Linked DNA regions of Nothobranchius furzeri. The protein of the gene in region 2 purifies or fractionates together with the protein of the main gene of each other region. This does not show direct contact. Links are inferred from orthologs where the notes say so. Each region holds a gene or a part of one and is shown on either strand. Other genes may lie near its edges. The genes, in order: trmt61a and trmt6.

Evidence for each region.
Region 1: the proteins of trmt6 (region 2) and trmt61a purify together in Homo sapiens (affinity purification with mass spectrometry; 4 studies listed by BioGRID and IntAct, counting the BioPlex papers as one, with this or other methods). This does not show direct contact. The link is inferred for Nothobranchius furzeri from reciprocal best matches to the Homo sapiens genes TRMT6 and TRMT61A.

Annotation. Positions count from the first base shown.
Region 1 is NC_091758.1:10,828,580-10,831,198, reverse strand, and holds the end of trmt61a (tRNA (adenine(58)-N(1))-methyltransferase catalytic subunit TRMT61A), read right to left. Parts: intron 1,327-2,619; coding exon 1,013-1,326; 3' UTR 630-1,012; downstream 1-629. UniProt on the Homo sapiens protein: Catalytic subunit of tRNA (adenine-N(1)-)-methyltransferase, which catalyzes the formation of N(1)-methyladenine at position 58 (m1A58) in initiator methionyl-tRNA.
Region 2 is NC_091742.1:22,627,276-22,631,202, forward strand, and holds the start of trmt6 (tRNA (adenine(58)-N(1))-methyltransferase non-catalytic subunit TRM6), read right to left. Parts: upstream 2,185-3,927; 5' UTR 2,011-2,184; coding exon 1,907-2,010; intron 1,778-1,906; coding exon 1,638-1,777; intron 1,525-1,637; coding exon 1,415-1,524; intron 1-1,414. UniProt on the Homo sapiens protein: Substrate-binding subunit of tRNA (adenine-N(1)-)-methyltransferase, which catalyzes the formation of N(1)-methyladenine at position 58 (m1A58) in initiator methionyl-tRNA.

The DNA.
Region 1 (2,619 bases), on a different chromosome or scaffold from region 2:
AGACCAGAGTGGAGCGAACGTCGTCAAATCAGCGACGAGACTTGGTGACTAGAGGCTGAAAACAAACAGCTTTTAGGAGCAGATCAAATATACATTTTTAACAAATGGAGTTTATTTGAGAAACAAACAAAAGATTAGGATTTGAATTAAGATGCTTTATAACCCAGCTGATTGGCTGTTAGCGTATCGGTTTGATCACAACCGATCTCCTCGTCTCCAGACTGAGGCTGTTCAAATAAACACTCCTTCAGTGACTCGAATGAAATGTATCTGATAAGTGAATCCGAGCAGCATCAGCTGACCCGGTCCACACCAGAACAAGCAGGTTGGAGTCAGGAACCGCGCGTTCCTAACCCACAGGGCAGCTATCCCGCTTTCCCACCAGAAACAGGATCCGATTCTGGAAACTCCGGAGACAAACTGCAGCTTCCAGACTCACCGGATCAAAAACAGGAGTGGGAATTCTCAGCAGATCCGTCTGTGGAGGACCTCTCAGACAAACATCAGCAGCCTTCAGGAGGCAGCAAACGCTTGACCAGAACTATGAACGGAGCTTTTTCACACACACCAGCTGCTTTAGGAATTAGACGATGCGTTTCATACTTTTAGATCCAGCACAGACTTCATCGTGAAAAAAGAAATACGTTTTATTTTCAAATTTCACAATTTAGTTGGGCTGCAGGAGGAAACCCTGCCCAGAATCCATTAGGAAGAATTCACCTGGTCACATAAACAGAAGCTTGACACGAGTCACAGTCCTGCTGCAGCTTTACTTTAATCTTTCAAGAGGAACAAGGGTTCGCTGTGAGCGTCCCAACACAGCAGCTGTTAAACAAAATCAACACAATTTTACTCTTTCTTGGTGTTTCGAAGCGAAAACACCCATAAATGAGAGCAAGTTTTAATCCTGACACAGAAGCAGAAACAATAATCTGAGTTATAAACAAACTAAACTGCTGTCAGGCGCATTTTCCCTCCTGCTTGATGCAAGCAACAAACGACTCGGCCAGCCTCAGGTTCTGGGTTTGGTGGCAAATGTGAGGTACCCCGTGTGACCCGGCATTTCTCTTGGTGGCGTGGTGGTCTTCATGGTGATGGAGGCGTGGTTTACACTAGGAGTGGGAGGGGCCTCCTCCTCGGGTCCGGGTTCAGTCTGAGAGGAGGGGTCTGGCCCAAAGTCGGGCAGAGGAAGCGAGACGGTCCGGACGTCGTGGATCCTCAGAAGCACCTCTACGGTGCTGATCTCCTCAAAGGCCTGATCCGCCAGAACCTCACAGGTCCTCTGGACCTGCTCTATGCATGGGGAGAAGGAGCACAGGTGACCTCCTGCAGGAGACAGAAAGCAGACATCACTGCACATCCTGGGGGAGTCAGACCATGGTTCTACTGATCAGTCAGGTCTACATCAGCATGTCCCATGTGGGACCAGAAGAACAGATGAAGCAAACAAAGAAAAAGGACATTTTATCTCACTCTGGGGAAACTACTGTCAATGAAACTGGGTCAGAGCAGATAAGCACGATCACAGCCTCAGGAGAACAGACCCGGTGGTTCCCGTTTCACCAGGAGACGAGCCGGTGGTCTAATAAACCTACAGACCACCTCCTCTAATCTCCAACGACACCCTGAGGTGTTTGCAGCAACTGCTCAACAGATGGCTCCCCGGGCGATCGGAGGGGCTGAGCAGGGGGAGAGCTAGGCTTAAGAACAACCTGCAGCTCAGAGCCCGAGAACAAAGATGGCTCCACGTGTGTGTGTGTGTGTGTTTCCTGCTCCAACAGCAGAAACCAGCTGATGTGTCGTCAGGGCGATGGAGGTCATGAACCTTCACAATCCCGCCTCTCTGGACTATGACCCGATTACGGTTCTGTGTTCTGACTACAACGCACTAAACTGCTCTGCTGGCATTCACGGGTTTGGGTTCAAATGTGTTTCTGTGTAAGCGTTATAAATAATTCATATCTGTTGCCGACAGCTGAACAGCCTCTGTTTGGAGAAACAGTTCATATCATATATAAAAAAAACTGATGAGCTAACAGCCTGGGTGAGTGAAATCTCAATGCTTAAATCTACAAAACATTTATTCTTATTGTGCAAAATAAAAGAAAATCACAGAAATTCATAAACAAGCCAGACTAGCGGTTAGCTCGTCGGTCCTGTAGAGTTCTGCTAACTCGGCTGTTCAGGATCAGAGTATTTATGCTTCAGAACGACTGAAAGGTCCCTTTAAACCATACATGTGTTGCCTCCTCTTCAGAGTTTAACTCTTCCTGATGATGTCATCCACCAGAGGTCCTGAAAGACCAGAAGGCAGCGTGGCTGAAGAGCGCTTCGTGTCTTGTAACCATCACAACAACCCCCCAATCAACGCAAACCCCTTCTCTTAGCAACACACACACGAGAAGTGAATGTCTACACCAGGGCGACTCCAACTGCCCCCCCCCCCACCACCACCACCACCACCACACACACACGCACACGCACGCACGCACACACACACACACACACGAAGTTAATGTTTACACCAGGGCGACTCCAACTGCCCCCCCCCCCCCCCCCCCACACACACACACACACACGTGAATCAATATGAAAAAAAAAACATTCAAACTCATTCAT
Region 2 (3,927 bases):
ACTCATTGGTCGGTGAATGAAACCTCTTGTTGATTGGTCCTCGTCCGAGCGACAGCGATGAAAAGTTGGAAATATTCAACTTTCTGGGGTCGCGTCGCTGGGTCGCCTGTGCACGACACGTGCAAAAGTCCAGAACCTCATAACCTCTTCAGCAAGCTCCCTAGAGACATTGGACTACGCACAGACTCTAGAACCCCTGAGCCTGGGATCAGTGGACTCAGTGCTCTCCTTTAAAAAGCAGCCGAACCTATTAATGCAGGCTTTTGCGTAACCTCATCAACCCCCCCCCCCCCCCAAAATCTGCACTCCCCAGGATCCACTGATTTTTCTCTCTCTCTCTCTCTTTACATTTTTAATCACAATTGTCCATTTTTGCTCATTTTAAATATATTTTAAAACTTTTTCTAAATGCTTGTTTATATTTTTTGTTTTCGTGAAGCACCTCGTGATTTTTATCTTGAGGCGCTCTAGAAATGATATTTTCTTCTTCTTCCATGTTCACACCCAGAATCAAACCCAGGTCTTCTGCATGAGAGTCAGACATCTTACAAGGTGAGCTACACTCTAGTAACATACACAGTATCTGTAACTTTTATATCCTTGATGACAGCTGAAACAACGTCAAACCAAAGAACGGTTCAAAGCGAAAATGGCTATTTTGTTGCTAATTTGCAGGAAATATCTAGAAGAAAGTTCTACAGAAAGTAGCTAAGGGTCCTCAGAAATGTAGCTAGTTTGTCACTAGGCGTTAGGAACAGCGACAAAGTGGCACTGCCTCTCTCTCTGCTGCTAAAGCTACTGATAGCAAATGCTACGGGCTATGCCTGAGCGTGAACGCGCATGAAGCAGCCTGCTCGACCCGAGCATCTCTCTTTTTCTGTGATTTTACAGAAAAACAGGCAATCACAGTAAAAATGCCAGGGCTCATTCTACAGGACCAGGGCATTGCAGGAGAATGTATGAAGAAGACATTTATTATTTCTATACATGTTTTGGCTGTCAAACTTCCATAATGTCCCTTTAAGTAAAATACCAGAATGGTGGGCACAACAAGGAAACTAGGACATGGCTTCCTTTTAACACTTTAACCACGTTTAATGCGAGCCGTTTATCTGAAACTCTACCAAACTACAAATGCAGAATTTAACAAAAAGAAAATTCTAAAATTCTCTTCCAGCAAACATATGCGCTGCACTTCTATATATATAAAAAAAAAGAAATAAAAAAAGAAACTTTTAAATCATTTTAAACTATGTGCAAAGGCAGAAAAGTCTAAATCTAAACAATTAAATTACAAATGAGCTGACCGATAATAAATTGGGTTTTGCATGATTTATGTGTCTGTCTAAGCGGCGTTTAGTCACAGCCACTTTCAGACACATGACTGGATCTGTGATTAAAGTTAGTAATGTACCTGACCCTTCAGGCCTTGCTCTTTCAGCGTCTCAATATCATCTCTGGTCAGCTTCTGTGATTTGCCGTCATCAACAATGTTCCTGTTGTCCGTACCTGCCACCTTTACATCTAGAATCAAACACAGAGTACACAGTTAATCCTGAAAAAGAACAACATGTTAACAGTTTTGTCTGAAGAAATCTTGAATCATACCTATTATAATGTTATTATTGGTGCTATACCTGCAGGACTTTCTGTGTCCTGTTCCTTACGGTCCTCCTTTGGCTGCAGGTTTCCTCCAGATACAATCTCAAACGTGGTGCTGTACAACTGTCCCACTGCATTATCCAGAAATATCCACTGCTTCTCAAAGATCACCTTCCTGTGTGTAAATGACCTTTTAATAGCGTCATATTTATGCACAGACACTATATAAGCGTCTATAACCAAACAAGTTGAAATTAAAATACATTCACATATTTATATCTACGTGGTTAAAGTTTTTACTTACTTCTTTAGCTGAATTTGCACAGCTTTATAAATGTCTCCACGTTTTAACACAACATTGTCACCCTCTTCGATTCTGTACTGATTATCGTCTTCGTTCTCAGCCATAATAAACTGCTCAAAACAATCCTGTTCGGTTAACTTTATATCAGCAAAATAAAGATAAAAAATAGAGGCAAAGATAGGATAAGGCACTAATTTCTTCTGGAGAACTAGAAAATACTTTACGTTGTTTAACACACGTGTTAGCACTCTTTCCCTAGCCTCCCAGGATGACTGAACGAAAACAGATTTATCTCAGAGCAATGATCCTGTAAGCGCGCCTGTGATTGGCTGGAAAAATGTCAAAGCGATTAACCAGCCAATAAGAGCAAAGTGTGAGTCAACTGTAGATTTCAGAAAAATCGATAAACGAGGAACTTCACGATGGCCGTGTTCGAATTTTTATTTTATTTTATTTTTTTTATTTAGGATATTGGTTCGTTAACAATACAGTCAATATACACAAATGACTCAATATCGGCCGTGTTCGAGTTGAGCTGCGCCTCGCCTGGAAAACTGAGAGAGCAGACGGAAGCAGCAGGGGGAGTACACCGGACAGATTTCCCTACATTTGTAGCTCGGAGGTGATGACGATGGCTGAAGATATCGCGTTACCGGCATGCACTGCTCGCCGATCACCGGTGATCTAATCTGCGCAGAACTGGCTCACCTCGAACGCAGCCGATGCTTGATATGATCTGCCTCATTGTACTGAAATTATTGTAAACCTGTGAGATACATCAGATGGGAAATAAAAAAAAATGTTCTGCATTATTGGGAACAGTGTTAAATAAATAAAATCTACGGCTTTTTATAGTGACTATTCTTTTGTGAATGATTTATAACAAAATATAAGAACTAATTTAAAAAGCCCAAACGAAACAAAAGTGTGAGTTTTCTTTCTCATTAAAAAGACTAACCTATGATACTTAAAACACTGTGATCTGTGTGAGTGTATATAGTAAACATATGTTTCAAATAAACTTGTTTTCAATTGTTTTGTGACAAACTCAAATAAAAATTAAAGTCAACACTAATTATTTCATTAATGGAACTGTTTTGCCTTCTTATCAGAGTAGGAGACAAACTGCAGGAATGAAAGAAATAGGAAAATCTGTAGAAAAAAGTGTTTGATTTTAATCATGAAAAAAAAACATGATTTTTTTTCTTGTAAGTAAAAGAAAAGGTTTTTGCTGAGATATAAGACTGATAAATTCACTGGTTAAATATGTCCTGATCTGCACAAATATTCGATGGAGCCAGTTTTCTAATTGTAATAAATAAGACACATAGTTTGCTAATTTGTGTGGAATAATTGTAATTGGGGTTTTATACCAAAAGCATATTACTGTGCAGTAAAAAAAGTGGATAAAATTAAATAAAATTATCAAAATAACAAAAAATGGCCTATAAACTGAATTTGTTTTTGAGGGACTATTTGTATGCTTCATGCTAGAAATAATTTGATATACTAAACAATCATAGCTTTAACAAAGGAAGGAGACCTCTGAGTTTTGAAAAGTGAACTTTGTGGCAGTAGTTCACCCTGGATTAGACTGTATTTTACATGCATCCAACACATAATCGCAGAAGAGCAACAGATTACAGATGGCCTGTTTTACAAATATTGCATTTTTACTACACTTCACTGTTTGGAGAATGAGATTATTTAGAATATGAATGTAATGTGTGTAAGTAACGTTATTTAAAACCACTGTAAGGATTAGTTTTGTTTCTTCTATTTTCCTAAAAGAAAGTTGTCTAATGAATGTAAAAAAAATGCAGCTTCTGAGTAACTTCAAATCTTCTAAGTTTTAAGAAACCAATCACAACTATATATTTACATCAGCATCACTGTTTTCACACACGTCAAAATGAAGAAAAGAAAAGCAAAAATAACATTGCTCTGTGTGTAAAATGTGTTAATTCCAGTGATTTATCGTGTTAAACATTCAGAGATAACATTGCTACAGCAGTCTTTCA